Alligator mississippiensis: one gene and its partners. The main gene of each other region encodes a partner of the protein of the gene in region 3 in a complex. Links are inferred from orthologs where the notes say so. Each region holds a gene or a part of one and is shown on either strand. Other genes may lie near its edges. The genes, in order: RASGRP4, SOS1, HRAS and GRB14.

What was found.
Region 1: the proteins of HRAS (region 3) and RASGRP4 are in contact, whole or in part, in a crystal structure (PDB 6AXG), measured with the Homo sapiens proteins. The link is inferred for Alligator mississippiensis from reciprocal best matches to the Homo sapiens genes HRAS and RASGRP4. Residues at the interface, in NP_001123914.1 of Homo sapiens: Glu3, Gly12, Gly13, Gly15, Ser17, Ala18, Ile21, Asp33, Pro34, Thr35, Ile36, Glu37, Tyr40, Arg41, Asp54, Leu56, Asp57, Ala59, Gly60, Gln61, Glu63, Tyr64, Ser65, Ala66, Met67, Arg68, Asp69, Gln70, Arg73, Thr74; in NP_733749.1 of Homo sapiens: Tyr228, Gly232, Val234, Val244, Asn248, Ser251, Asn288, Met291, Ala292, Gly295, Gly296, Cys298, His299, Ser300, Leu327, Ala328, Ser329, His330, Asn331, Asn332, Tyr333, Ala334, Arg337, Leu351, Gly352, Val353, Leu355, Lys356, Val359, Ser360.
Region 2: the proteins of HRAS (region 3) and SOS1 are in contact, whole or in part, in a crystal structure (PDB 4NYM), measured with the Homo sapiens proteins. The link is inferred for Alligator mississippiensis from reciprocal best matches to the Homo sapiens genes HRAS and SOS1. Residues at the interface, in NP_001123914.1 of Homo sapiens: Gly13, Gly15, Ser17, Ala18, Thr20, Ile21, Gln25, Asp30, Glu31, Tyr32, Asp33, Pro34, Thr35, Glu37, Tyr40, Arg41, Asp54, Ile55, Leu56, Asp57, Thr58, Ala59, Gly60, Gln61, Glu63, Tyr64, Ser65, Ala66, Met67, Arg68; in NP_005624.2 of Homo sapiens: Glu589, Lys602, Trp809, Thr810, Lys814, Leu822, Met824, Ile825, Arg826, Thr828, Thr829, Thr832, Glu836, Asn869, Leu872, Val875, Ser876, Asn879, Ser880, Ser881, Tyr884, Ser908, Asp910, His911, Tyr912, Lys913, Leu916, Phe929, Phe930, Gly931.
Region 4: the proteins of HRAS (region 3) and GRB14 are in contact, whole or in part, in a crystal structure (PDB 4K81), measured with the Homo sapiens proteins. The link is inferred for Alligator mississippiensis from reciprocal best matches to the Homo sapiens genes HRAS and GRB14. Residues at the interface, in NP_001123914.1 of Homo sapiens: Glu31, Asp33, Pro34, Ile36, Glu37, Asp38, Ser39, Tyr40, Arg41, Tyr64, Met67; in NP_004481.2 of Homo sapiens: Val109, Lys111, Asp116, Glu117, Thr118, Ser119, Arg120, Ala121, Leu122, Asp123, Lys140, His142.

The regions. Positions count from the first base shown.
Region 1 is NC_081838.1:1,909,853-1,917,451, forward strand, and holds the start of RASGRP4 (RAS guanyl-releasing protein 4), read right to left. Parts: upstream 3,017-7,599; 5' UTR 2,833-3,016; coding exon 2,810-2,832; intron 2,139-2,809; coding exon 1,945-2,138; intron 1,805-1,944; coding exon 1,699-1,804; intron 1,546-1,698; coding exon 1,483-1,545; intron 1,411-1,482; coding exon 1,279-1,410; intron 1,145-1,278; coding exon 991-1,144; intron 469-990; coding exon 295-468; intron 1-294. Other genes in the region: GEM-interacting protein, read left to right, coding at 4,260-4,529, 4,719-4,756, 4,956-5,052, 5,206-5,459, 5,575-5,714, 5,813-5,905, 6,134-6,200, 6,270-6,322 and 3 more.
Region 2 is NC_081824.1:236,140,088-236,147,398, reverse strand, and holds the start of SOS1 (son of sevenless homolog 1), read right to left. Parts: upstream 3,010-7,311; 5' UTR 2,747-3,009; coding exon 2,660-2,746; intron 1-2,659.
Region 3 is NC_081825.1:182,638,511-182,646,413, forward strand, and holds the start of HRAS (GTPase HRas), read right to left. Parts: upstream 3,014-7,903; 5' UTR 2,704-3,013; intron 1-2,703. UniProt on the Homo sapiens protein: Involved in the activation of Ras protein signal transduction. Ras proteins bind GDP/GTP and possess intrinsic GTPase activity.
Region 4 is NC_081827.1:217,685,987-217,693,164, reverse strand, and holds the start of GRB14 (growth factor receptor-bound protein 14), read right to left. Parts: upstream 3,014-7,178; 5' UTR 2,999-3,013; coding exon 2,898-2,998; intron 620-2,897; coding exon 487-619; intron 1-486. UniProt on the Homo sapiens protein: Adapter protein which modulates coupling of cell surface receptor kinases with specific signaling pathways. Binds to, and suppresses signals from, the activated insulin receptor (INSR). Potent inhibitor of insulin-stimulated MAPK3 phosphorylation.

The DNA of each region.
Region 1 (7,599 bases), on a different chromosome or scaffold from region 3:
AATGTGCTCATGCATGTGCAAACATACCCTTACACACCCATATACATGCGCATGCACCTCTGCGTTACTCACATGTGCAGGGTGTCCAGGGCACGTGTCCATGTGCATGCAACCACACCCTTACACACCCATGTACATGCACATTCTTCTGTACAAACACACCCTTACACACACGCATCTCTGTGGCCACCCACGCATGTGCGCTTCCTAGGCCCCCCCTTCCTGTACTCATGTGTGTGAAAACCACCCCCTGTGTACGCACGCCTGCTTCCAACTGTGCCCCCCCCCAGGTACCTGTGCAACATGGATGAACTGGGCGAGCACGCGCGCACGCTGGGGGGCCGTGGGCCGGCTCAGCACCATCACCTGCACCCACTGCGACACGCTGTTGCACAGGGCGACCGCACGCTCCAGCGCCGGGGCCCCCCGCACCGACCCCTGCAGCACGTAGCACCGGCAGTCCCGGGGCTGGGGGGGCACGGGGGGTCAGAGCTGCCCCATGGCCTGGGGGGGTGGGGGTAGGGGGTCCTAGGGAATCCCAGGAGATGGGGATATGTCTAATGGGATCCCAGGGGGCAGAGCTATGTCCTCGGGAAGGTCCTGGGGGGCCCTAAACCCTGGGGCATGAGTGACTGGTGCCTCCTGAATCGGGGGGGGGGGGGGGGCACCTGCAATAGCTGCTGATGGCAGTGGCCCTGTTAGGGGGGCACCAGCCCTGCCGACAGCATCAGTGTTGGGGTCGGGGGGGGGCACGTACACCCCCATGCAATCCCTACCAGTCCCCTCTGTCCTGGGGAATCCCATGGGGAGGAGCCATGTCTGGGGGGGAATCCCAGGGGCAGGGCTAAGTCCTGGAGGGGGTCCCAGGGGGTGGAGGGGAATCCCAGGGGGAGGAGCTCTATCCCGGGGAATCCCAGGGGGGTGGGGCTATGCCCTGGGGGTCCCAGGGGCGGGGCCATGTCTTGGGGGGTCCCCGGCTGGGGGTCTCACTGAGATGCGGGCGAAGGCGCGGAAGTCGAGGTACGCAAGGTGCTCGGCCAGCTCCGCCGCGTCCAGGTGGTCGAAGAGCAGCGACACCTTCCGTTTGGGCCCGGGCGCCGGGCTGCCCCGGGCCCCCGGCCCGCGGCCCCCTCCCGCCGTCGGCCTGCGGGGGTCAGGGGTCACGCGCGGGCCCGGCTGCCCTCATGCACACCCCCCATGCATGCTCAGCCTCATGCACACACCTTGGCACACCCATTGCACCCGCCTTGGGCCCCAGGGCCTGGGGGGGGGGCTCACCTGGGGGCCTCGTCCAGCAGCTGGGCATGGCCCCGGCGCCCCTCCTGCACCGCGGCCTGGCGCAGCTCCTCCACCGCCTGCTCCAGCTGCGGCTCCAGGCAGAAGGCCTCGGGCTGCTGCGCCATCCAGTACCTGGGGCAGGGGGGCCATGAGCACCCTGGGGGGGTCCCGGGGCGGGTAAGGGGGGCACTGGGGGGGGCTCACCGCAGCAGGTGGCAGATTTGCAAGCGCCGCTGTTCCTGACGCTCCCCCGATGTCTCCCGGTAGGTGCATCCGAGTCAAGGCTCCATCACAGCCTAGACCCCTCTCCCAGACCCCCCCCCCACCGAGGTAGGGGCTGCAGGGCAGGAGTGAGGGGCGCTGGGGGGGCAGGGGGCTGCAGGGCGGGAGTGAGGGGCTCCGGGGCGGCTCCAAGGATATAAGGCCAGGAGGCAGCGGGCGAGGTCGGCCGAGGGCACCACCCAGTCGTGCACCGTGAGCGTCATGTTCACCAGGTACTCGTTGTGGCACAGCGTCCCGTCCAGGTCTGGGCAGGGCAGGGCAGGAAAGGGTTAAGAGGCTCCCCCTCCTCCCTCGCGGCCCCCCAGGGACTGTTAGCGGGGTGTCGGGGTGGCGCTGCTGTAGCTGACCGGGGCAGGGGCAGGGGGCGGGGTGGGCGTCCAGTACCGAAGGCGTCGAGACACTTGTCCAGCAGCTGGGCGAGGCTGCAGGCGGGGCCGAGCTCGCCCAGGGCCAGGCTGGCCACGGCCGTGTGGATCTCCCGCGGCGTCGGGCAGGTCATGCGGCGCCGGCACGGGCGCTGCCGGACCCTCCCGGGGCCGGGGCTGGACACGAGGCCGGCGCATTCTACCGAGGGCTTCCTGGAGGAGCCACGTGTGGGGGGCGGGGGTCACCGCTTGCTTCCAGCCCTGCAGCCCCCCAGGACCCCCCGCAGCCCTCACACCCCTTCCTGAGCTGCAGAGCATCTGGGCTCCCCCCAGGCCTCTTCCCGGCAGCCCGTTGCAACACGGCCCGGCAGCCCGTGGAGGCCACTTCCCCTTCCCCGGCCCCGTTGCCCAACTGCTTCGGCCACCGGGCCTCCCAGCCTGCAGGGATGGGACCCAGGCGTCCGGGACCCCGGCCCTGCCCCCGTCCTATCCCCCACTGCCCCCAGGCGTCCAGGACCCCGGCCCCGACACGGCTCTGCCCCCCCAGGCCCTGGGGAGATACCCCAGGCGTCCGGCACCCCCCAGGCCCCACTGCCTCCGGGGATGGGACCCAGACGTCCGGCACCCTACAGCCTCCGGAGAACGATCCCAGTGTCTGGGACCCCGACCCTGCCCCCCACGAGACCACCCTACCCCCGTCCAGAGGCAGGAGGGAAGCCAGGTGTCCGGGGCAGGACGCAGGTGTTTGGGAGCTCAGGGGGAGGTTCAGATCCCCCTCCCTGCGCCCGCCCCGCCGTTCTAGCACGCCGTGCCCGCTCCTCCCCAGAGCTGGTCGCATCGGCTGCGGCATCGTCTCTGGGAGGGAGAGTCCCCCCCCCACTCACCTTTTGCTCTCCTTCCTGTTCATGGTGCGGGGCTGGGGGGGGTCTCTAGCACCCCCGGCGGGCCCCCCCGGCCCCGGGCCCAGCTGTGGCACGGCGGCCCCACGCAACGGGCGGCGCCGGGGCCCAGCAAGGAGGAACTGTGATGTCAGGGCCGCGCCGGGGCGGGGGCCGCGGGGGTGCCCGGCCCCGGGAGCACCCGGGCTCCCACCACGGGTCTGGCCGCCCCCCGGCCGGAGCCCTGGCACCCGGCTGGAGCTGCCCCCTGGGCACGGCGCCCCCTGTTGGATGCCCCCCCCCCACGCTCCAGCCCCCTCCCTGGGCCAGGGCTCGCTCCGGCCGGGCTGGGCAGAGGCCGTGCATGCAGTGGGGGGGAGGAAGGAAGGAAGAGGCAAGAAATGCTGTGGTCTGCGGAGAGCGTCTCCCGGAGACGGGTGCTGCAGGAGGCTGCGCGGGGGGCGGGGAGGGCCTGGCGGGGTGGGGGGGTAGGTAGAGGGGGTGCTGGGGTGGATCCCTGGGGCTTCCCGATGGCCTCCTCCTGCCATAAGGCCTGTTGTGGCTTGGCACCAGCTTGGGCTATGGATGCTACCCCCCAGCTCTAACCACTAGGCTGCAGGGGCTGCACCCCGGGATGCTGCCAGTGGGACCCTTCTCCAGCAGGTGCGATGGGAATGGGGAGCCTCGCAGGCCACACGGCCTGAGACCCTGCGGGGCTGCCGGGGGTGGGACACGGGACCCCTGCAGTCCCCCCCAGCAAAGCCCAGGCCCCAGTGCAGGGAGGGAGGGATGCACGGGGGATGGTGGGGTTGGACGGGTGGGACGAGGGGCAGGACAGCGGGATGGACGGGGGTGGGGGAGGCGGGGGCGCCTGCTCCAGGCCAAGGCCCCTGGGCTGGTTCCCCCCCCCCGCCCCCCCAGCTCTGCTCAGCACGGGGGTGGGGGGTTGCTGAAGTCCTGGGGACCCCCGGGTGCAGCTGAGCACTCGGTGGGGGGGACAAGACGGGCACTGCTGAGGGGTCCAGTCCCAGGTGCCAGGCATTGCATGTGCTCTTGCACACACCCCTTGTTCTGCAGGGGGAAGTGCACGTGTGTGTGTGTGTGTGTGTGTGTGTGTGTACCCCGGACACCTGGGTTCTGTGTGCCCTCCCCCCCACACACACACAGTACCCTCAGGTGGGGGCTGCAAACACTGCCTTGGGTTGGAGCTAATTGGGGCAGGGCAATTAGCAGGGTCAATTAGCAACTGCATCCTCTCACCTGCCCCAGTGCCCTGGAGCAGATAAATAGAGCAGGGGGTGTGCGCGTTCCCCTCCTGCCCCCACCCCAGCTGTTGGGACATGCTCTGTGTGAGTTTGCGTGCGAGACCCAGATGCCTGGGGTGCGTGCGTGTGTGAACGTGCATGCACGCACGCATGAGTCCCGGATGCTTGCGGGGGGAGGGGGTGTGTCCTAGATGTCTGGGTTCTCTGGGTGTGTGTGTGCACACGTGTGTCGGATGCCTGAGTTGTGCGGCTGTGGTGGGGTGCCTGGGTGTGCCCCGGACACCTGGGTTTTGTGGCCGTGGGCGTCTCCCGGACCCCTGGTTCCCTGGGACCGTGTCGCAGGGGGGTTGCACCTTGCAGCTGAGTCTGGGGCAGCCCTGGGGGACTTGGCTGGGGCGGGGCTCCCCCAACCTGAGCCCCCCATCTCTTCCCTGCCCAGAGCGGCTGCAACGTCCGGCTGGGTGAGCGGGGGTGAGGGGTGGATGCCCGGGTCCCAGCTCTAGGAAGGGAGCAGGGCTCAGTGGTTATCATGGGGGCAGGGGGTGGGCAGGATGCCTGGGTCCCACGGCTCCAGGAGGGGAGTGAGGCCTGGTGGCTACAGCAGGAGGAGCCCTGGGTTCCCCTTCCTGCTCACCGCCCTCCTCTCCCAGGAGCCCGGTGCCGCCTCGGACACCCTGGATCTGCCTCGGTGAGTGGGGGGGGCTCCTGGATGGACCCCTGGGGATGGGGGATGTCTGGCCCTGCCCCCTTCTGGCAGCTCCTCCTCCTGCTGTGGCTCCGCCCTCTGGGAGCATGGTTGCAGGCTGCCTGCAGACTCAGGCGTACCCCGGGGGGAGGGGGTGAAGGGGGGGCTGCACTAGCGCCCCCCGGTGGCTGCCCCCCCACAGGTTCCTAGTGGAGGCCTGTGAGGCCCTGCAGCCGCACCTGGGCACCCCGGGGCTCTTCCGCACCGCCGGCTCAGTGGCCAGGATCAGGGCCTTAAAGGTACAGGTGCCTCTGGGGCGTGGGCAGGTGGGCCTGGGGATGAGGCCTCGGCCCCTCCTGGGGGTGGGGGAGCCCGGACCCCTGGGGTCTCGGGGGGCGGGGGGGAGTTGGGGTGCTGGTGCAGGGACCGGACACCTGGGTTCTTGCCCGCAGGCCCGGGTGGCGGGGGGCGAGCCCTGCCTGGGGCTGGCGGCACCCTGCGACGTGGCCGCGCTGCTGAAGCGGTTCCTGCGGGAGCTGCCGGAGCCCCTGGTGCCGCCGGCGCTGCAGGAGCCCCTGTGCCAGGCCCAGCGAGAGCCGGACCCCGACCGTGCCCCCCTCACCCTGCTGCTCACCGGCCTCCTGCCCCCCGCCCACGCCTGCGCCCTGCGCTACCTCTGCTGCTTCCTGCGCCGCGTGGCTGCCAGGTGCGTGGGGGCCCCTCGCTCCCCGCTGCAGCCCCCTGCCCCGTGTCCTGCGGTGCCCCACGCTCCCCACCGCAGCCCGGGGATGGGGGGGCTCAGCTCTCCTCTGCCCCCCCAGGTGTGATGAGAACAAGATGGATGCCGCCAACCTGGCAGTGATTTTCGCCCCCACCCTGTTCCCGGGGCCGAGCTGGGGGCTCCGGCTGCAGCTGCAGGCAGCCGCGGTGCAGACCCTCATCCAGGAGGCCCCCAGCATCGGTGGGTGCAGTGGGGGGCAGTGATGCAGCTGCCTCTGGGGTGGGACATGGGGCTGGTGGGGGGGGGGGTTCAGGCTCTGACACCCCCGTCTCCTCCAGGCTGCGCCCCCCAGGCCCTCCTGGACGAACTCCTGGCCCCAGAGCTCGGCGATGCATCGGTGGCGGAGACGACCCCAAGGCCTCGCTGCGACGGTGAGGGGAGTGTTGAACCAGAGCCCCCCCCACTCACTATTGAACCCCACTGCCCTCCTGGAGCTGGGAACAACCCCCCGCTTCCATCCTGAGCTGGGGGGAGAGCCCCGGCATCTGGGGAGCCCCCCCAGCCCTCTCCTATGCCTCTTGCATGGGGTGCTGGGCTGCTCCTGGCTGGGGGGGTGCTTTTTGGGGTGCACCTGAAACATGGCCCTGCTGTCCCCCCAGGTGGCCCTGCCCCGGCGCTGCCCCCCAAGAGGAAGGCATGGGGGGCACCCCCCGGCTGTGGGAAGTGGTAGGTACCCTCTGGGGTGTGGGAGGGGGCTGGGCGGTTGCAAAACCCATCAGCTTCTCCCCCTTGCAGGTGGCCGGCAGCTGACGAGGCTGGAGACCCCTTCGAAGAGCCCCTGGGGGCAGGTATGGGCCAGGAGGGGGTGGTTCCCATTTGAGGATGGACCCCCTCAGACTAAGCCGGACCTTGCTTCCTCCCCAGAGCCAGCGCCAGAACCGAGGAGTCTGGCCTGGGGTCCCAGGCAGGAGGCCCCCAACGGGATGTATCAGGTGAATGAGGAGACTCCCCCTGGCTGTTGTGATGGGGCCTATGACATGTGATGGGGCAGGGTGGGTGGGTGGAACCCAGGTGTCTGGGTGTAGCTTTAAAGGGGCAGCACCAGCCCCAGAGCTGGCCCTGACCCTATTTCCACCCCCCAGCTCCCTGCCAGTGATAATAGTCTTCCTAATATCCAACCTCAACTTTCCTTGCTGCAGCCTGCGCCCATTGCTCCTTGGGACACCTGGGTCCCAGAGCCCAGCAGCTGGAGCCAGATGAAGAGGATGGTGGCCGAAGCCCTGTGCCCCCCCTGTGGTACGACACCACCCCATGTCCCAACCCAGAGCGGAGCACAGCTGCGTGCCCGGCCTGGCTGACGGGGGGTGTCTATTGCAGGGCCGAGCGGAGACCTCCCACCTGAAGACCGGGCCGCCCTCCTGCACCGGCGGCTGCGGCGCTCCCTGAGCTGGCCAGAGGACTCGAGGTGCCCCGTGGCCCCCCCTCTCCCCTCCCCATCCCAGGTGCCCGAGGTGGGCCCGTGCCCCAGTGGCTGCCTGTGCAGCTCCTGGCGCGGCCGGCGCTCCTGCAGCCATGAGCGGCCCCAGGGGGCCGGGGCCAGGCCCCGCTGTGTGCGGGGGGTCCTCCGGGCCTGTGGGCGCCTCCTGGCCTGGCGCCGGGGTCGCAAGCCCTGGGCCCCCCCCAGCTGGACAGGCATGCGGGGGGCTGTGCCTGTGACGATGCAGGGGTCATGTATGTTCCCGGTGTGACCGGCGGTGGGGGGGATCCAGCTCCCTTGAGTTTTAGCTTGATGTGTCCAGTGGTGCTAATAAACTCTGGGGTTTCCACCCCAAAAGTTGCTTTTAACTCCTTCCTTGCCTGTGCCCCAGCTCCACCCCTGCAGTCTTGGATCTGTACCCCCTCCCCTGGGGAGAGGGGCATGATCCTGGCCAAGGAGGGTGGGGGTTCTTGCAGGTCCTTCATGGAGGAGCTATTGGGTTGGGGGAGAGTGGGGGGCTTCTAGCACCTGCCCTTGGGTGGGGGCTGTGTGGGGAGGGGGTCAGGCCTAGTGCCCTCCTGTCCTGCCCTAGGCCCTTGGCTGGGTGCTTGGTAGCCCTGAGCAGCCAGGGCTGGGTGTGATGCTGCA
Region 2 (7,311 bases), on a different chromosome or scaffold from region 3:
ATCCAAGTTACTCTTCTCTTGGTCCTGAACATGCCCATTTTCATCAAGTTCTTCAGCGAGCAGTGACATTCCGAGTCAGCTCACTAAGGGTGCTTGTAGATGTGCAGGACGCCTGCTCTGACACGCTGCAATTACAGCACGTCAGAGCAAACTCGATTAATGGAGTCTGCTGGAGCATGCTAATTACCACGCTCCAGCAGCCTCGGCATCTCATGTATTCGGCACCCCTGCACTTCAAAATAGTGGCGGCGGTACTTTAACTAAAGCTCATCAAACAAGCTTTACTTAAAGCACCACCCCCACCACCATTTTGAAGCACCTGCGCTGAATACATGAGACACGGTGGGTGCTTCAATTAAAGCCCTCTCCCTCCACACCAACCCCCAGAGCAGGTATAAAGATGCCTTAAGTGACTTGCCCACCAGGACAGAAATTAACAACTTCACAGATTCTGCAATTGATGTATGCAATTTCAAAGAGCAGTTTTATTCTGGTTCATACTATCAAAACTAGGGGTGCTCCGATAAAGATTTTTTGGGTCAATACCAATGGCTAATTATTAACGAGCCACATCAGCTGATACGGATGCGACTGCCGATATGCAACCCAGCAGCTTGGACAGCAGCATATGACTAGTAAGTCTGTTGGTGGGAAGGGGTATGGGGGACATATTGAGGACCCCTGCAGTGGGGGAGGGAGTGGGAATGGGGCTGGGCAGGGGCTGTCCAGCCAGGACAAGGCACAGGACAGAGCTGTGCGCGGCTCATCTGGAGGGTATGGCAGGGGCGGGTGTGGCAGGGGCCGGGCTGCTCATGCCACAGCACACGTGCCCGAAGGAGGCATGGGAGTGTGTGCCCCCTGGATCTGTGCGCGTGGTGATAGTGGGCTGCTGCTGTGGGCTGGAGGAAGCTCCAGGCTCTTCCTAGCAGGGGTGCTGGGTTGGGGCTGCGCTTGGGACAAATGGTGGTGGCAGCCCTGGGAGGAGGGGCTGCAGCAAATTTTGGGGTGGCCTGCAGTCCACCCTGTAGCCCCCCCATTTCAGCACCACCCCCCACCCCAAGTGCAACTCCAGCCCAACCCCACCGCTGGGAAGAGCCTGGCTCAACCCCAGACCGCAGCAGGCAGCCCGCCCTCGCCCCACACACACATCTGTGGGGCACGTGCCCCCCGTGCCTTTCCCTGGGGTGCATGCTGCCCCTGCCCCAGCCCCACACCCTCCCTCGCTGTGGGGGCCTTGATAAGCTCCCCCGCATACCTCTTCCCCACCCCCCAACAGACTTACCAGCCAGACACTACTCTCCAAGCTGTCAGGCTGGCCGTGTGCATGCTACTGCTGTGCCCATGCATGCGCCATTTATCGGAGACATTATTGACCACATCACACAAAGAAAGTCGATTGCCATTAATGTCAATTTTCCTTTTGTTGGTGCTGATACAACATGGACCGATATACTGGTGCACCTCTAATCAAAACCTGTTCTATTCCCAGACTACTTAGCCCTGTGTTGAGTTCCCAGCACAGCAAACCCTGAGCACAGCACAGAACAGTGAGCCAAATCCGCAAGCTGCAACTGGCCTGCAACTCACAAGCAGGCTTCAGTTACCTTGATGCTTGAGCATCCCAAGGCATTGAAAGCCTCAGGGATTTGGGTAGTTAACCCAAAAGTTATTTTTTTCTCAGAAACAGGTAATGATCACTTACTGTACCAGCAAGTGCTGGGGTCAGGAAAGACCTGCTCCTTGATACAAACGCACAGAGTCCTTGGATGAACATGCTGTGAAACATGAAACAATGCATTGCAAGAGAAAATTGGGAAGGTGAGCTGAATCAATGCAGTTGAAATACTTGGGATACCCAGTCCATGCTGTGGAGTGCCCCCAGTTCAGCCACATTAAGGAAGTTTGCATCCACTGGTACAATCAGTATACCAGCATCAATGGCTGCTACATGTTGAGTGCAAGGTGTTGATTAAGTGTTGGATATAAAACCACTTCAGAAAACAGTTTCTGGAAAGCCTCGTTCTTATTTGCTACAGGCAGAAGTCAGAAGTGAGCAGCCCTGACCCATTTCCCCCACACCAATGCCAGTATCAGGAGCAAGTGAGACTTACTCTCCTGCCCTCGATTCAGGTTTCTTCGCAAAACAAAGCTCTAAAACAGTGGTGCCCAACCTTTTTTATCTGCAACCCGCTGCTGGGAGCAGACTGCGGCGTTAGCAGCCTGGGGGAGCTCCTGACATGCGGCGCGGCTCATGTTTTGTGTGCAGCGCTGCCGGCATTGCCCCCGCGACACTAATTTGGGTCGCAACCCGGGGCTGGGAACCGCCGCTCTAAAAAGAGGCCAAATGAAACCAGAGTTTGTGGGCAGGCACCTCTCACTGAAGCAGAAGCTTCTGCAGGACAGGCTTGTACCTTAGCCACCAGTGTTTCGCAAACCACGCTGTGTGCAAGCCTGGGGCTCTGCCACGGGTCCCTGGCAGCTCCTCCGAGACGCTGGGGTGGGCGGGGGGCGGGTGTCTGTGCACGTGTCTCTCTGTGCTTGTGCGCCACACACAACACGCCCCGCGCACACACACACACACACACGGGGCCCTGCCCCGCACCTGTGGAGCCCGCCCCGCCATGGGGAGTGCGGCCCGAAGACCCCGGTCGCCGCTCACCTTCTTGAGCGCGGGCACGAGCAGCCCCCGCCACTTGGGCGCGCTGTCCTCGCTGCACAGCTCGTGGAACAGCGGCGGCACCTGCATCCTGCCGCCGGGCCGGGGGGGCGGGGCGGGCTCAGCGCGGGGCCAGCGGCTCCCGGCGGCGGCCGCTCTGGGCGCCGGGCGGCGGCGGCGGCATCCCCCCGCGGCCCCGGCCTGGCCTCAGCACCCGCCGCCCTACCCCGCCGGCCGCGCTGGCATGGCCGGGCCCGGCCCGGGGGCGCAGCGCGGGGCGCGGGACCGGCGCGGGGGGCGGGGCTTGTGCCGGGACCCGAGCACGGCTGCAGCTCCGGGGGCTCTTCCCGTGCCCGGACGGTTACTCCGCAGGGCGCATGCGCGGCAGGGCGACACTGAACCCCCTCCCTCCCCCAGGGCGCATGCGCCGTGCCTGTGCGCCCAACAGCCGCCAGGTCAGATGCGGACGTCAAAGGGAAGCGAGTGGCCAGGCCAGCTCAGCCGAGCGCCGAACGCCTCGCTGGGCGATCGGCGGAGGGGGCTCCGCAGCGCCCCCTGCGGCAGGGAGGAGCCCACAGGGACAGCCGTGGCGGGCGCTGGCGCGAGGCCTGCCCTCCCCGCCCTGCACAGCGCGCAGTGTATTGGCTACCGCGCTTGTACCATAGCTTCCGCCTTCGTTCGATGCCTGACCAATAATGACTAATTATTAATTAATTATTAATGAATGATTTGATTAATAATATTAATAATTTGACTGACAGTAATAATACGATTAATATTAATTGGTTAACAATATGAATACATTGATTAATAAGATTAATGATATTTAATTGATTGATGGTAGTAATACATTGATTGATTAATAATGCCTAAGCAATAATGAACCTTGTCTACCTATGCCCTTAGACCACGGGTGGGCAAAATATGGCCTGCCAGCCCATTCTGTCCCGCCTGCAGGTCCCCTAAAATGTTTTTAAAAATTAATATTTATCTGCCTGTCATGCGGCCCTCAATGACTTGCCAAAACTCAGTAAGCACCCCTCTGCCCAAATTGCCTGCCCCTGCCTTAGACCAACAGGGCTACAACCTACACCCCTGAAAGCACCAATGCTAAACATGTTCAAAGTGTAGAAAAGTTTTTGAGACAGCTCATTGATGCAGCTTATGCAAAAACCACATCACTTTCAGGGAGTCAGCTGACTTTGGTTTGCTGTCAGTGCTTTCTTATGATGGTTTGCCTCAAAATAAAGAAATGCTTCCACTTGGATGACCCAGTTCTCTCTCACTCACTGCTGGTTTCTAGCGAGCAATGTAAAGTAAATAAGAAAAAGATTTATTTGCACAGTTATCTTTTCAGTCTTCAGTAGTTTTTCAGCAAATACAATAATTTTGAGCTTCCAATACTATAATTTCATGGTTAAGACCTGGCAATGCTGACAGCACTCATTCTCACGGGCCCAGCACTAAGCCCACGCACAGCAGCTCCCAGCTGCAGGGGCAGCAGCCCAGGGCAGGGAGCCTGGGAGTCCACCTCAGCACAGGCCATGTCCCCAGACAGGGGGCTAGCCCTCCTGAAGCAGCTGGCCAGCAAGCACACAGGGTGGGCCCACTCTTCTCCTGGGATGTCAGGCCAAACTAGGGCTGAGGACAGTGGGTGATCTTGAGCCAGCAGGTTCACTGTCCTGAGCCTCATCTATCCTGTCTCTCCCTTTACCTATCTGTCCCATGGGCATGGTGCTGCTACGCTGCCTTGAAGGGCATGGAGGTCCACTGGTGAAAAATCGCCCAGTCTGATGTGCACAATGGGGTAACAGCCTTTCCCCATTTCCCACTGTGAGGGCAAAGATGTTGAGGACTGGTGGTAATAGTGAGATTCATGTCACTGGCCCTAGCCACCAGCCTTCCCCTGGTACCTGTTGCTAGGAAACAGTTCCTGTCACCACCCACCAGTGGCTCCCAAATTATCAGTGCCTGACTGTGACATGCTTCCACCCACCATCACCAGCCATGGCAGTGCCTCACAGGTAACTGACAGCCTTCCACCTTCTCCTGGGGCACATCTACCCTGCAGCAGGAGAATGATTGGTCTCACCCACCCACTCCATCTGCATTACCCTAGCATGGAGTTGCTGAGGACAACCTCAGATACCCCAGTGCCATGCTCAAGACCTAGATTTTCAGCATGCTCAAGAAGAGCCACTTAGGGCACCACTTTGTTTCTGAGTTGATGCCTGTAATGTGGGAGTGGGTGGGCAACGTTATTGCCGCTTCAACCAGGCTAAGTTTTCTGCTACCATGCTGTACACAAGTGTCAAAGGCCTCCACACCACAATGTTTCACCAAGTATTCACCATTTTCTTGTAGGCTTATTGAATGGCAGAAGGAAGATTTGTATGGTGATGTCTATTCTTAAACCATCTCTAGAGTTGGGAGAGAGATTAGATAGGCTTTTGGGCACAAAATGTCCCTCCTCAAATGGCAGGCAGTGGGTGAAAATGTCCTTTATCTGTCACTACGTGCAAGCAAGTAACAAGGATGCACAAGTTGACCACCTACTACCTGCTGTCTTCAGTGGACAAGAGTTGTCAAGCATCATTGCCCACCAGGAATTGTCACCAGTTGAGAAGCTGACATGCTGTTACCAAACCTTAAAATTGCACCATGGGCAAAAATGTCACCATACAGCACGCTACCACAAGGTAGCAATCATGTGGGTCTACATGTGATTGGTAGCTACATTGCTGTAGCGGTGCACTCCCCTGTTTTAGATTGCCATTATGTGGATGTAGCAGCAAAATGTGTGAGTTGCACACATGGCGCAGTGCAGGCAGTTACTGCACCATGCTTTAGTACTTCCAAAAGGAAGTACTAAAGCATGGAAACGTAACAACATTTCTGTACAGCCATGTGTAGACATGCCCCATGTGTCTCACAACACTTGGTCATTTTTCTTAAAGCTCCACCTGTGGGAATTGAATGATGAGGAATCTCATTTTTCATTCTTGCAAGTTTCTAAACCTCAAGATGCCTGAGGAAAGCTAAGAATATGATGCAAGTGACCCCAACAGGCAAAGAGGAAAAACCCACCAATTATTATTTTGTAGCATGTTATGACTCAAAGCTCCTAATATTTTAACAGCAGCAAAAGCCCAAGTCCAGATGAAAATCCCAGTGAGCAGAAATCCAAATAGAGGTAAATATTTTCTCAAAGCCATTCTCTCTGTGGCAAACACCTCTCAGGGCTCTTTGTTGGCCCCCTTCTTTTTCCAGTGGTAATACAGTAGAACCTGGACCATTCATATCCAGGCGGTTTACAACTTGCTTACACAGCAGTGGGTTGTCCAATAAAGGATACGCCATTCAGCTGATTGCTGCTGCTTTTACTCAAGGGGCACCACTTCTCTACACAGCTGGAGCACATCAGCAGGCCCATGAAACTTTTTGCTCTAGCTCTGAACCATCCTCTATGCAGTGAGGTTAGGGATGTGATCCTGTGAAGTGTCTGGGTTCTACTGTAAAGCACCTCCTTTGATAATCCCTCAAAATCACTGGGGCCTCCCTGACCCCCATCATCCCGGCTACAAGTCCTACTGTTCCCTTGCCCTACTTATTTGTAGTCCCTTACAAATAAGTAAACACTTATTTGTAGACTAAAAGCAGCATCCAGGTAGTGCTGGACCTAGAACCTGCCTCAAAAGGACAGCACAGCTTCATTCATCTCTGACTGATACCAGTTGCCATTACCATATACAGGCTGCCAGGAAACATGTCCGTCACCAAGCACTGGCAGTGGCAAGTAGTTTTCAGTGGGCCACCTGGTTTCAAGCAAGAACATGTTTAGTCAAAACATGACTTTCAGCTTCTTCACCCGGCTCCCTCCCAAAAATACATAATAATAACGTTGACTTTTTAATTTGCTAAATTTTTGCAGTGTTTTCAATCTTAAATTTTAATATTTTTACCAAAAATGTTATGAAAGCCATTATTTGTTTTTCACTGATCCAACACCCAGTTGGTGGCAAATGTAACATTTAAATCAGGACTTCGACAACATTTTCAATTCCAATCCCTACTTAAAAAAATTTAAAAGGGTCCATTTCAAACCTTGTAAACTCGCCTTCAATATCTGACTGTAGTTTTTGCAGATATTTTTATCTGCTCCAGCCCATAAATGTCACCACTGGCTATGAAATATCAGGACTTGCAATCCTGAAATGGGGTATAACACCTGGCAGAGGTACTGATCTACAGATGCTAAGACGACACAAATGCTAAGTTCAGGAGGAGTGCTAGGATGCAATAAGTTAATTGGCCTGAGTCAGAATCAGCTTGAGCAAAATAGCTTCCTCCAGAAACCAGCAGGAAACAGTATATGGAGAAAGGAGGGAAAGGCTGCATTAGTGAGTCCTGCTGAAGAGGCTTTCAGGAGAGGCAGGCTGCCTTAAGAGGTATCTCTCTGAGCCAGCTAGTTCTTTCAAACCCCTAATGAAAGGGTGTTTGAGGCACCTTATCATAGATATCATAGAGAAGTAGGGCTGGAAGGACCTCAAGAGGTCATCTAGGTCAACTTCCTGCCTGAGTCAGGACAAGTCTTGTGTCCTATACAGAGACCAAAACTGTGACCTTGGCATTTTTAGCACCACACTCTAACCAAT
Region 3 (7,903 bases):
GCACCGGTGCTGCAGTACTGAAGTTTGTCTAATAGTAATGACACAGGGGATACCTTCTAGGAACAGGAAGGATGGTCCAATGCACAGAGCACTAGCTTAGGACCTGTAGGACCTGGATTCAAGTCCTTGCCCTTCTACAGCCCTGTTACATGCCCCTGGGCAAGCCATGTAGCCTTTCTGCACTCATTAGAGTGCAGTGTAATGTTGAGCTATCTGACCTAGCTGTCTCTGTCACCAAAACCAGTAAATCTGTATTTGCAGAGAGCCCCTTTTTCAGCAGGGTTAGGTACAGAGCTCTGTTTGGGGTAATCAGCTGGCTTTGCTGCTTCTAGTACCAGAGCTAGCTTAGGTATCTCTGCACTGCAGACACACCCTACGTCTGAGCCACACACACACGCTCACACACACTCTTGTAAAGTAAGGAGAATAGGAGCGTTGTGAGGATAAGTATATTAAAGACTGTGAGGTGCTATGGTAATAGCAGCCAGGGAGTTACCCAAGGTACACGGCCTGACCACTGAAGGGGAATAAATAGGCATCACACTGGCTATTCATTAATACCATGGACTAGCCTGAAACTGCCAGTCTCACAGTCTGGTTGCACCAATGTCCATATTGTTTATAGAGCTGTAATGCATTTACACAAGGGGATTAAAGCAATGCAACACCACCAACTAAACCCTCAGGGTAACCTTATCCCAATTCTTGAAGCTGACTAGCATCTCTCTCAAGTATGAAATTCCATTGTTAATTTTGGATCTATAGGTTGGGCTTTTCAAAGGTGCCTACTATTCCTCTGACAGCTATTTAGTGAAATCAGTGCAGGCACTGCATTGATGTGTTTTGGTTATGTCAGTTATGCCTACACTTGTAAGATTCACCAGCACAAGCTGAGCCAATATGAGCCTGGCTTAAACCCCTGTAAACTGAGCCTACTCAGGAGCAAATAAATCTGTAACTTAGCTTAACTAGGGTAACCCAGCAAACCAACCAGACTGAAAAGAGCCGGGTGTCTAATCCACTTAGGCTACTTTAAAAATCTTAACCATCTCCCCAGTATGTCTCCCTGTGATGTATACTTTTAGCTATACAGAGCATTTCATTACCCGCAGAGTGCTTGCTAATCCTCCCGCAAGTCTTCCATTTGGCTTATTTTTTATGCACGCCGTACCCATCCCCCTCACAGACCGCTAGCAGGGGAGAAAAACGCATTTCTATCCAGGGCTATTAGGAGCAGTGGGCCCTACAAAGAGCATGCCTCACTCTGGGGTCTAAGGGGGGATGAAGAACTCCCCTGGCATCATTCCCAAGTGCCTCTGTGCTGGGAATAGCTCTAAAGGGAGCTGCATCTGCCTCTCCCCAACCAGGGGGCAGGCATGACATAATGCTAGAGACTAGAAAGCCAGACACACCCAGGAAGCAGGGAGGTTCTTAGAGACCCCAAAACACGAACTGGTAGTGCCGCCTGCTTAAAACAAAAAAACAAAAACAAAGAGACACAAACCCACACAGCCACACCTGTCTCTGTTTCAAGCCCTCCTGCAAAGCGCAGTGGAATCGTCTGGGCTGCAAACAAAACCGCTCTGGAGAAGTTTATTATCAATCATGACAGCGCTCGTTCCATGGCACACCCTGACGGAGCTGTGGCAGCCCAGGCTCAGCAAAGAGAGATGCCTGCTTGGCTATCACCATGGACCACTCCCTAAGCTGCAGTATCATGTGGGTATTTCAACCCATGGATGAAAGCCAGAGGAGAGGCTGGACAAGGGGAAGGGGTGGGGAACAGACAAGGGAAGGGTCACTGCAGGCTGTGGTTTGCTCCTGGAGGATGCAGTGCCCCTCCCATTCCTTTCCCCATGTTCCCTGGACTGGCAGGAAGTGTTTACAGAAAGCAGAGTCATTGTTAAGACCGAGGGGGCAGGCAAGCAGGTGATTCTCCACCCCTCCTTCCCTCTCCCCTCTCCAAAGTCTGCCAGATTTTAGGCAGGAAAGAGCAGAAGTCATCAGCATCTGCCGGAGATCCTATCACTGCTGCACAAGGTGTGCAGAGACCTGGGGCTCCCTCCGCAGCTGCAAGAGGCTGGGATGGGGCAGCTGGGACACAAGCCAGCCAGGATCCATGCCACCGCCAAATGACCTCAGCACACACACAGGTCCAGGCATGCCACACAGTGCACTCCTCCCACGTGCACCTCCACGGAAAGTCTCCATGGGGGTCATCTGGAGGGATGAGACACATACCCCCCCCCCCCAAGCGATCAGTCTGCAGGGGGCCTGGTTTCACTCAACAGGAGGGTCTGGAAAAAACCGGGGGGGGGGGGGGAACTAATTTGCAGTATGCTCTTAGACTGGGGGGGCTGCAGCTTCCCTGCCCCAATGCACACACATGTACACACACCCCACACACGCACACCGGCTCACCTCTCACACACCCCACACGCGCACCTGCTCACCCCACACCCATGCACACACGCACTCACCCCCACACATGCACACCCTTCACCCACATGCTCACCACACACCCCACATGCACTCACAACAGGTGGCAGGGGCACCCCCACCCCCAGCCCTTCCAGCCAGGGGGCTCTCCCAGCGCTTCCCACGCACGACCTGCCCCCAGCCCCGGGCTCCCCCGGCACAGGGGGTGGGGGCGAGGCTGAGCCAGGCGCCGCCCGGGGCTGCGGACGCCGACCCCCGACTCACCGACTCCGGCGGGCGGGCGCGGGCCGGAGAGGAGGGAGACGCGGCCGAAGTTGACGGGAGGCGGCGGCGGCGGCGGCTGCAGCGATCCCCCGGCCGGCCCGGCCCGGCCCAGGCGGGGCGGCGCCCGCAGCGCAGCTCAGCGCAGCGCTGGGGTCAGCGGCCCGCGGCCCCGGGGCAGGGCGGCGCTGCCCACCTCGGGGGCGGAGGGGCCGCCTGCCTACAGCGCCCGCCCCGCATTGGCTCCCGCGCCGGGCTGCCCTGCCGCTGCCGCCGCTGGCACAGCGCGCGCGCGCGCGCGTGTGTGTGTGTGTGTGTGCGGGTGCGCGGGCAGGCACACAACAGTGACAACACACACCCGGCGGCAGCGCGCACACACACTCCCGCCGCCCCGGCCCCGCCCCGGCGCCCTCGTGCTGCATCGCCAGCCCGCGCTCAGCGCCGCCCCCTGCGCCTGCCCGCCCGGTCCTGGGTGTGCGCGCGCGTGTCTACGCGTGTGTGTACTGGGGTTGGGGGCGCGAATTGTGCACCTGCTTGTGTTGGGGGTGGTGCTTGTGTGCGGGTGCATGTATTGAGGTTTGTACACCTGTGTGCGTTGGTGCACACGTGTATGCTGGTGTGTGTCCATCTGCATGTATTGGGGTTGGTGTGTGAGGGGGTGCATAGATGTGGACCTGCATGCATTGGGAGGTGTGGGGTGCCTATATGTGCACCTGCTTGTGTTGAGGCTGGTGCTTGTATGTGTCAGTGTGCGTGCACATGTCTACCTGCATGTTTTGGGGTTGATGTGTGTGTGGGTGCATATGTGTGTATCTGCGTATGTGCGTACCTGTGTGTATTGGGGTTGGGGGGTGTGGGGGTGCGTATGTGTGCACCTGCTTGTGTTGGGGTTGGTGCTTGTGTGTGTGTGTACCTGCATGTGTTGGGGTTGGTGTGTATGTGGGTGCCTGTGTATGTTGGGGTTGGTGCACATGTTTCTGCTGGTGTGTGTGTCTACCTGCATGTATTGGGTTGGGGTGTGTGTGGATGCATGTATGTGTATGTGTATCTGCATGTACTGGGGTTGGAGGATGTGGGGGTACGTATGTGTGCACCTGCTTGTGTTGGGGTTGGTGCTTGTGTGTGTCTACCTGCATGTATTGGGGTTGGTGTGCGTGTGGGGGGGGTGCACCTGCATGTGTTGGGGTTGGTGTGTATGTGTGCCTGTGTGTGTTGGGGCTGGTGCACAAGTGTGTGCCAGTGTGTGTCTACCTGCATGTATTGGGGTTGAGGTGTATGTGGGTTCATATGTGTGTACCTGTGTTTGTGTGTGTCTTTGTATGTGTGTCTACCTGTGTGTATTGGGGTTTCTGTGGGGTAGATGCATATGTGTGTACCTATGTGTACTGGGATTGGGAGGGGTGGGGGTGCGTATGTGTGCACCTGCTTGTGTTGGGGTTGGTGCTTGTATGTGTGAGGGTGTGTGTACTTGCATGTGTTAAGGTTAGTGTGTATGTCAGTGCCTCTGTGTGTATTGGGGGTGGTGTTATGTTGGTGCCTGTGTGTGTTGGAGTTGGTGCACACGTGTGTGCTGGTATGTGTCTGCCTGCATGTATTCAGGTTGGTGTGGGGGTGGTGCATCTGTGTGTACCTGCGTGTGTTGGGGTTGTTTCACATGCGTGTGCGGTGTCTGTGTATGTATTAATGTATGTGTGCATGCACCTGCTTGTGTTGGGGTTGATGTGTGTGGGGATACATATATGTGTGTGTGCACACCTGCATGTTCTAGGGTTGGTGCTTGTGTATGTGCATGTACCTGCGTATCTTGAGGTTGGTGTGTGTACATGTATATGTGTGCATCCCTGCTTGTGTTGGGTGGGGTTGGTGTGTGTGGGGGTACGGTACATGTGTGTGTGTGTGTGTGTGTGCGCGCGCGCCTGCATTTGTTGGAATTGGTGTATGCATGTGTCCGTGTGTGTGTGTGTACTTGCATGTGTTTGGGGGAGTGTATGTATCTGTGCATGCACCTGTGTGTGTTGGAATTGGTGCATTTGTGTGTGTGTGCGCATACCTGTGTGTCTGGGGGAATGTGCATGGGGGGTTGGGATGTGTATGCATGTGTTGGGTTTGGTGAGTGCATGTTGGAATCGGTGCATGTGTGTGTGTTGGTGCATGTGTGTGTTTGTTTTGGGGTAATTGTGTTTGTGTACACACTTGTGTTGGAGTAGGGGTGTGTGTGGGTGTTGGGCTTGGTGCACGCATGCGCATGTTGGGCCTGGTGTGTGTGCATGTCTTGGGGTTGATGTGTGTGTGCATCTGCATGTACACATTTGTTGGGCTTGGTACACGTGTGTGCACTGGGCTCTAGTCGCTGAAGTCCTGCTTCCCTTTCCTTGGGCACGTGTTTCCTCCCCTGGACCAGCAGTCTTCTCAGAGGCAAAATGAGAGCCATTGGGGCCTGGACCCACCCCACGGCCTAGGCTCCTCTCCCCCTGACCTGCACCCCGCCCTGCAGCCACGGGCTCCATCCTCGAGCAGCACCCAGAGTGAGATGCGCTGCAGAGCCACGGCCACCCCTGCCTGCAGGTCCACGCTGGAGCTGGAGCCTGGGGTCAGTTGCATGAGACCCCGCATATGACAACATTGCCCCGCCACTAGGCAGCACTGGGAGTACAGAGCCACTGCCTCCTGGGCACATGCAGTGCGGACTGAACTCTGGGGGTGGCCACTCGACCTGCCATAGCTCAGTCTAGCTGGAGCAGCATCCAGCAAACACCCAGGATTGCAGCTGGCCAAGCCAGGACCTGGCTGGACTGGGGCTGCCCCGCCACTGGCAGGTCCCAGCCACGCACTGCACTCAGCTGCACTCCCTGCCACGGGCAGCTCCAGCCACTCCCAGGTCTCCTGCACGGTCGTGCCCCACACCCCACCCAGTACCTGGCAGCCTTGGCCCGCTGTGTTGCACGCCCGGCCCAGCCCAGCCAATGGTTTTGTCCATGCCAAGCTGCCGCCTCTCTCCCCCCACCCCCAGGCATCTAGGGGTCCTTGTCTGGCAGGGAGCCCTGGGCCTGGGCCCAGCTGGCCCATGCATTAATCCACCTATGGTCTTCCTCCAGGCACCTCCTTCTCTCTGCTTTTGGCATTCCTACAAGGCAGGGCTCCCCTCTGGCCAACTCTTCCCCCCATGTACCCTGTGTGTGCATGTGTGTGTGTGTCCATCCTTCCTCTCTCTGTGTCTCTTCCTCCTGCCCCTCTTTGGGATGAGCTATTGTGTCCCACTCAGAAAAACCCACTGAACTGGAGGAGACCTTTCCCTTACAGCAGGGTGAGGCAAGCTTGTGTGCTGAGGCTTGCTCCCAGCATTCCCATCCAGGGGAAAGCAGGGAGAAACAGATGAGTTGCCTTCAGCACAAGCTCCCTCCCTGTCTTATGCCTGTGTTACAGACACCTTGAAATATAAATCCCTCCTTACCCCCAACTCCAAGAGTATAACATGTTTTGAATCAAACAGGGAGGAAAGAGCTCTAATTAACCCCTTCATGCCTGCTGCATTGTGTGTGGCAGCTGCTGTTCAGTCATGCTTGCCCTTCCAAAGCACATTTAATCGGCCTGTGCCACAACAATGCTGTGATAATGTATGCTACTTAATCCTTGGAGTGGCCCTGTGAACTATGAAAATACTGGTATCCCCACTTCCCATACATCCCACAAGTCAGAAGCAGAACCAGAGCCTGTCTACTTGTGCACTGTTACTTAGGGTCAGCACTACAGGTCACCATTACCTACCTCAAGTGACATTAGGCAGCCCTTTCTGTTGATGTTACTTTGGTACAGCTGCACAAACACACACACACAGAGATCATTAGCAGGCAGACTGGTTCCTAGAGAGGCTCAAGCCCTTCTTGGAATCAAGTCAGGCCACTACCTGTTTCTTCCTGTACCCAGTTTAAATTATGGGCAGTGGAAACAAAGAGAGTAGAAAAGTGCCACCAGATGCTGGGTGAATAATGAACACGCTACACTGCAGGGGAAGAGCAGGCTAGAGGAAAACTAGACTTTGGGCAAATTCAAGGAGGGTTTCTAATGTGAATGGTCAGCTGGTTTGGGCTAGAAGGCAGATCTGGGAGTGGCTCTAGGTAGCAGCACAGATACACCCCGAGTCTACATCTTCTGAAGCAGGTTTTGGTGCCACTTCCACTGGGGGAGGCCAGTTTTCAACCTGTGATTTGCCTGCAGTTGTCTCAAAGGGTTTAAACCTCTACTCCATTCACTTTTCTCTGGTGACAAGGATTTTCAGTCACTTGCAAGCAGTTCTCCTTTCAGCCCTGGTATGGGTAGAGGAATGTTCATTGCTGCCCTATAGTGACTTGTTTCTATCAATCAGTTGTGAGATCTGCCCTGGAGAATACCTCTAACAGCTGCCTCTGTACGCCTGGCATGCTAAGGAACCTACTACAAGCTTCTGAAGATAATGTTGCTGTACGGAAAAGGCTCACACAGTCTGTACACACTGAGTAATGAAACATGGCTCAATGTAACATATATGCCACCAATCCTGGAGAAGTGCTGCTCAGATCAACCTGGTAGGTCTTTCAAGCATTATTTTGAAGATTTGTTTATTCTTTGTGTTGCAAGAGTGCTTACCAGTCATGAATAGGGATCAGGCTTCAATGAACTAGGTTGCTACTTCTGGGTGTCATAAAAAGAGAGTTCCTGCCACAAATAGCTGATAGTCTGAGCACTGAAAGTATTGCACAACCTGTTCTTTGGTTGTAATTTTACAAAATCATGCAGTTTTAGCAGCACAGCTCTCTTGCATGCGTGCATGTGCATGGGTGCACATACACACACATGTACAGACTCTCTCTCTCTCTAGGCACCAAGAAACCTTCCAGAGGACTTTCAAGATTGGCCTTTAAAGGCCAGCCCTAAAAGGACAGTGTCATCATTAAATAGGCTCAAATGTAACCTATCTTCAGAAATGTTTGTTAGATGTTTTAGAGTCAGGACAGCAGTTGAAAAGCAATGAGCTTGCCACAAAATGAGGGCTGCGACTCAGAGAGAAATATCAACTCTGCCAAGCGAGCTGAAAACATCAGCAATGCAAAGGTACCGGGTTTCTCACAGGCACATGCATGCACAGCACGCCGCCTCTCTGCAGTGCCTGTCTTATCTTGTCTTATCCATTCCTACCGAGCAGGCAGGGTACTGAAGTGTACAGGAA
Region 4 (7,178 bases), on a different chromosome or scaffold from region 3:
CATATGAGGGGAAACAGAAGAGAGTGAAAATTTCATCCTGATTGATTTTAGAGTTGAGACATCTTCTCTACTGGAACAAGTTTAAAGAGCTACATGGGAGTTTACAGCCAGACCCTCAATGCAAAGGCCATTTTCCAGGCCTCACTTACAATCGTAGAACATTTTCCAGTAAGACTCATGCTGCCCCTGAGAGGTTTAATGACTCAACAGCATCCACAGAAGTTAATGCTACTGGAAATTACTTCAACTTTCACAGAGTTCCTCACTCAATCTCCAGATTTTAATCCAGAAACAGTATTACAGACATTAAAGAGCACCCAGATTTAGTCTCTCTGTGTCTGTCTCACACTCAGTAGACCCCCCCCAGAGCACCAGAGAAGTATATGTGAAGCTCCATCCCTCTCCCAGGCACACACAATTTATGTAAACCTTGAGAAAAATAGAAGTGTTTGTAGATCCAAGTGCCTTATCAAAAATAAATCTTACCTGTTTTTTTCTTGAAGTTGCCTTGGGCAACAGGCTGGCTGACAAAACTGAAGCAAATGGAGAACAACATAGCTCAGGAAATGGATTTGGAATTGATGGGATTTCCAGCACATCAAGTTGGCTCTTTTTTCTCCTACATCAATAAAGAACATAAAGCAATAAATAAGTAGAGCAGGGACCACAATGTAATTGCTACCAGAATTAAAACTGAAATAAGCAATCACCATCTATTAAATACAGCGACATTATTATGTTTAGTGCCTCAGTCATCAGTTATATTTGTTAGCTCCTTGCCAGCAGACTGCATGTGGTTTTACATATGTGCTTAATACTGAGCATGAAGTAATCCCAGCACTTCCTCTTGAGTGTAAAATTACGTTTGCATGTAAATCTTTGCAGGATAAGTGTATGAATCTATTTGCACTGGCTTCTGGAATTAGCAAGTATTTTCAGGAACACCAGTGGAACTTCAGTCTTACAAACACACCCATTACTACAAGTCTGTTTCAATTTGCCTACTTGCTGCAGTAAACCAAGCTGGTGGGTAAGTTATTTTGCAGGGTAATGGCCAAAGTGATTGGAATATCACACAGGAAGACATTTCTTTCTGCCTCTCAATGCTTTTGCATTCCTGCCTTATTAAATACAGCAACTAATAGGAGATGCTAAGCGCTACTTAAATCTAATTCTCTTGCTGCCATGATTATTGCCAAGCACTATCTACAAACTTCATCAATTTCAATATCATTTTGCAAAATTTTTTGCCTTAGAATGGTTTTAGAACTCTCTTTTTAAGCAACCAAATGCAAAGCTTTTAGAATGCTGTAAGCAACATTGAGATATTTTCTCACATGTAAAATAAAATGAGGATCTAATGTACAACTTCCATCACAGGCAACAGAAACTGAAACAGCATAAATACTGGTTTGATTTTGCTAGTACCCAGTTCCACTCCCCCTCCCCCACTTTGTGCAAGTTGATATTCTGAGCTTAATATTTAACTTCACTTCCAATATTACTCTAGGTTTCACTTGCTGATTGGTACGATACAAGTCTTACAGACCATCAAAATAAACTGAATGATGCAAAAGACCACTGCTTGTGTTTCTGAATGCATTTAGAGAGCAATCATTTGATAGCAAGTGTAGTTTTTAGAAGGAAGGGAAAAATACTGTGTTCACAATATTCTAAGGTGTTCCAGATTTCAGCCTAGTGAAACTATCAGAAACTTCATAAGAAGCTAAGTAGGTGAGCTAGACTTTTAATCCCCACTGAATTGAATTCCATTGGAGACACGGTACAAATCTGGCTGAGAGCAATCAGTTATAACAGCCATGGCTTTAATATTCACTGTCCTGGGCAAATCAAGCCCTTATCTTCCAAGCCTGGGATGAAGAAGCTAGCCTTGGGAGATAGCACCAGTTCATGTCACCTCAGGGGTGTGTAAAAAAGCTCAGGAAGCATGTCGGGGAAGTGCTTTAACCCAAGGTGCTTTACAAAATGCACCATTTGTTAGAGTACCATTGAACCCAACAAGCATTTGCCTGTTGGTGCACTGGTCCAAGCCTGCAGGTAGAGGTGCTCCAGGCTGCTGGACTGCCCCTCTCCCCAACCCCACACCCCACCACCAGCTAGTAATGGTCAGCAGTGGCTGGGAGGGTGGAGGGAGTTGGCCTCCTTCAACTACCCTTGCTGGGGTCCTGGGATGAGCTGGGTCAAGCCAGCAAGGCAGGGGGGCCTTGCCCCCCCTCCCTGAGTATTTGGAAAGTGCCAGCTTCATGGCAGCTATGCCTGGAGCTGGAGCAGGGCAGGAGGGAGCCACCCCACCATGTCCCAGCCTGGCAACCCCTGCTCGGCTGGGCCCGTGTAGTTGGGGGCTCCATTCCCAGCCCCTGTGTGAGCATCTTGATAGCAGCAGAAACTGCTGTGCCCAGAGCTGTGGCAGGGGGGGAAACAGAGTCCCCGCCCTCCACCACATGGGCCTCGCAGCACCCCGCTAACAGGACCCTAGCAGGGGTGGCCAGACCAGGCTCATGAGGCAGGAGGGCTCTCCTTCGCCCCCTACCCCACACAAGGGAGCCCGCCTGACACTACCTCGGACGAGGGTGACATCTGTGCGCGGCCGGCCACGCTCTGCCGCCAGCAGCGAGCGCCTTCGGGAGGGGGGGGCTCCACACCCAACCACCTCACACCCACGAGGCAGCGCAGTGCCAGCTCGGGGGCAGGGCGGGCAGCCTGTCGCGGGGCGGCCGCCCCCAGCCCGGCTCCTGTGGCCCACGGCCCTTTCCAGACTTCCAGGTAGGGGAAGCCAAGGGGGCGCGCTCTGCAGCACGTGGCCCTTCCCGGCACGGGACAGCCCAGCCCCGAGCCCGGGCCGGCCCCCGGCACTGCCCCTCCGGCCCCAGCCTTACCCGTCTGGCCGTGGCGCCGCCGGGGAGCGGGTCCGGGCGGGCGCCGTCCACGGGGCAGCCCCGGCCGCGCCGCGCCGCCCCTCCGGCAGCGGAGCCGCCATCCCCGCGCCGGCCGCGGGCGCGAGCAGCCCCAGGAGCACGTGCCTCGGAGCTGCGCTCGGCGCCGGCGCCGCCCGGCGGGAGCAGCGGCCGGAGCGGAGCGCGGAGCCCCGGCGCGGCCGCTCTGCTCTCGGGTGCGGGGGATGCGCCCCGGGGCTCCTGCAGCCAGCACCTCCGGCTCCCGGGACAGCGCTGACAGGCTGTGCTCGCTTGGCGGCTCCTTATCGCCTCCTGCTAATCTCTCTCCCCCACCAGTGTTAAGCCTCTCTCTCCTTTTCCGTGGGCTCGAGTCCCGCTCTTCGACCCCTCCTTTCTTCTGCAAGTTTGCAGGGTGGTGGCCACCCCTCGCAGCGGCTCTCTCCCGTCTCCCCGCCCTGCGTTCAGGTCTAGCCGCAAACCTTCCCTCCCGTGCGGCAGCGTGAGCCGAGGGGTAGAAATGCTTGACAGCGAAGGCACTGCCAAGTCTCTCAAGAAGGCTGGATTTTGTTTTATGAATCTGAAAAAGTGACGTGCATTTGCCTCCAATGACTACAGGGTTCAAGCAACACTACCTGTTGACTAATTTTGCATGGTTTGTCATGCTTTTGCTCAATTGTATATACAATTAGCAAAGGAATGCACACTCCAGTAGTGATATTTGTTTTTGCTTTGGTCTTAAACAGATTCATTAAGGGTGCTAACAAAAGTGACATTTGTCCAGTCATTGGCCCCCTAAAAGTGCTCTACAGCCCTGCCATGACAGACGTCCACATGCCCCATCACGTCACAAATTAACCCTTATAACAAGGGATCAGATGAAGGTGCTCCAAAGCTGAGCAGGTGACTTTCTGATCTAGCCCTGCCCCACCAGGTGCTCTCTGGAAGAAAGGAGGAAGGATCCTGGAGGGGAATGCACTCAGAGCTGGGGTTTGCGTAGCCCCAGCTGGAAGGGAGGGTGGATTGGCTGAGTGGCCTCCAAAGTAGAGCTTGATTCCCCGCAACCTCCCCCTACCAAACAGTGAATGCCTGTTGCGGGGGTTGGGGTCTAAGTCATGACACCTGCTGTGAAGCACCATGAGTTAGAGCAGGAGCTGCACATGTGTCAGCACCTAAAGTACTTGACCCCTAGCATATTAGTAAAGTATCTTGTTTCTCTCCAAGTGGAGTAACTGGAGAACGATATGTGTTGTGTTATGCGACGATGTGCCACATCACCTGCCCCCCACTTTTCAAAATCCTAGATCCACCCATGAAATGATTCTTTCCAGGGGAGGCTTCAAGCTTTCCTCTGACAGCTGTTTATCCTGCCAGTTCTTCACTCTGACATTTCTTCTTTGACTTACTTTTTCTTTGCTTTTCTGACCAAGTGGTGTTTACTGACCCAGAAGCCATAAGCTGCCTCCCTCTGGGCAGCTGGCCATGGGGCTCAGGTGTTAGGTCAGAGGAGCAGTCACTTCTACTCTCCTTGTGACTTTAGGCACTTCCCCACTCCATACCCCAGATTTTTCTTGAAGGAGAATAAAGCTATTGCTATTGGCCTATCTTGGTCATTGTGTTTGTTTAAACTCTTCAAGGTTGGTTCTTACCTACAGCCCTGGCAGCAGCCCCTCAAGCAAAACAAGATGCTAACCCCAGCTTGGGTTTGTAGAGGATGCAGAGAAATGCAGGAGGGAACTGCAAATACCAGCTGAGCACCTGCTTGCATATCCCATTGTTCATCACTAGCAAGTTGCATCTAAGAGAGCATAAAACCTAATAGTCCTTTCACTAAGTTGTGGCCATGTTCTAGGACTTTGAAAGCAAACCTAATTGTGACTCCACTCAAAATTCAAAGTGAAAAAACTGTAATTACCCAGCTGTTCTTGATATGCACTCAGCCTAGTGTATAGTAACCCCCCTGAAACTTTTCTCTGTTCACTGCAGTTAACTGCATTGAACTGAACTGGTAAACTGCTTCTGAATATAACTGTGTCAAATGATTAGGGCCAAGCCCAAGCCAGAGGAATGTAGTACACTTCTAAGAATATTTGAAAAACTTTAGAAAGTGAGTGGTTTTTTAAATTGTTATTGAAGAAACCTGTTTCAGAACAGATGTTGTTTTAAGGCTCCAGAACTAGCTTCAGAGGCCAACATTTCAGTTATCAGTATGAAGAAATAGTCTTAAGTAGGAGAAACACCAGAAGTTTTTATTCTGGCTGACTTACAAATGATTTTGCAGAACATTTCTTTTTAATGAAACTAGGAATTCTTTGTCCTCTCAATAGTTCCTTCTCTGTTACTGTGGCAGCTGAAGAATCCAAGCTGATTAAGAATTCTTATACACAGAGATTGGCAAATGTTTTCAAAATTTCAGTCTAAAGACTGATTATAATTGCTGTTTGGTTCAATAGCAAAAGTACTGGTTGTTTACAAACAAAGGGAACTTGCTATTTGTTGAAACAGGTACATTGCAATAAACTTCACCCTAATTAAAACAGAGAAGTGGCCATTACTAATATAAGAGGAAACTAGGACCTAGAACAGATACGAATCTTGAAATAGCACAGTTTGATGTCAAAGCCAAACTGTGAAAAGGTGGTAGCTTCTAATTTTTCAAAAGATCTGTATACTTTTTAATGGAGCACTTTATGCTACTAAATTAATATTATGTCTCTGGTTTTATAGAATCATAGAAAGTCGGGGTTAGAAGTGACCTCAGGAGGTCATCTAGTCCAACCTCCTGCTCAAAGCAGGACCATCCCCAACTAGATCATTCCAGCCAAAGCTTTGTCTAACTGGGTTTTGAAAACCCCCAAGGACAGAGCTTCCACCACCTCTCTGGGTAACCTATTCCAGTGTTTTACTACCCTCCTAGAGATAAAATTATTTCTAAAGTTACCTAAACTTCCCTTGCTGCAACTTAAGACCATTGCTCCTTTTTTTGTCATCTGCCACCACTGAGAAGAGCGTAGCTCTGTCCTCTTTCAAACCCCTCTTCAAGTAGTTGAAGGCTGGTATTAAGTCTCATCTCAGTCTCCTCTTCTCTAGACTAAATAAGTCCAGTTCCCCAAGTCTTTACTCATAAGTCATATCCCCCAGACCCCTCACCATTTTTGTCACCCTCCACTGGACTCTCTCCAATTTGTCTACATCCCTTCTATAGTGGGGGGCCCAACACTGGACACAATACTGCAGATGTGGCCTCACCAGTGCTGAATAGAGGGGAATAATCACTTTTCTTGACCTAGTGGCAACACTCCTACCAATACAGCCCAGTATGCTGTTAGCCTTCTTGGCAATTAGGACATGTTGCTGGCTCATATTCAGCTTATTGTCCACTGTAACCCCCAGGTCCTTTTCTGCAGAGCTGCTGCCCAGCCGCCAGCCTATACCAGTGCATGGGATTGTTCCATCCTAAGTGCAGGACTCTGCACTTGTTCTTGTCGAACCTCATGACATTTCTTTTGGCCCAATCCTCCGATTTGTCTCGGTCACTCTAAAACCTACCCTCCAGCGTATCTACTAATCCCCCCAGCTTGGTGTCATCTGCAGACTTGCTGAGGGTGCACTTTATGCCGTCTTCCAGGTCATTGATGAAGACATTGAACAAAACTGGCTCCAGGACCAACCCCTGCAGCACTCCCCTTGATACTGGCTCCCAGCTAGACATCAAGCCATTGATTCCTACTCTCTGAGCCCAATGCTCCAGCCAGTTTTCTATCCACCTCACAGTCCATATATCCAGCCCATATTTCCTTAGCTTGCCCCCAAGAATGCTGTGGGAGAACATACCAAAAGGCTTGTTAAAATCAAGGTATACCACATCCACAGGTCTCCCTGCATCCACAGAGCCAGTCACCTTGTCATAGAAGGCAATCAGGTTGGTCAGGCATGACTTACCCTTGGTGAATCCATGTTGACTGTTTCCAATCACCATTTTTGCCTTCAAGTGCTTTGAAATGGATTCCTTGAGGATCTGCTCCATGATTTTTCCAGGGACTGAGGTGAGGCTGACTCGTCTGTAGTTCCCTGGGTCATCCTTTTTCCCTTTCTTAGATATGGTTTTCTGTATGGTAGTTTCATTAGTTAGGCCATTTACATTATTTGTCTAGATTTTATTAAAACAGCTTCCAGCAAATAATTAATTCATTGAAAATATGTTAAATACAGTATTTCTTAGCATTCCAAACCTCTTTGGAATGCAATTGATTCACAGCAGAAAAA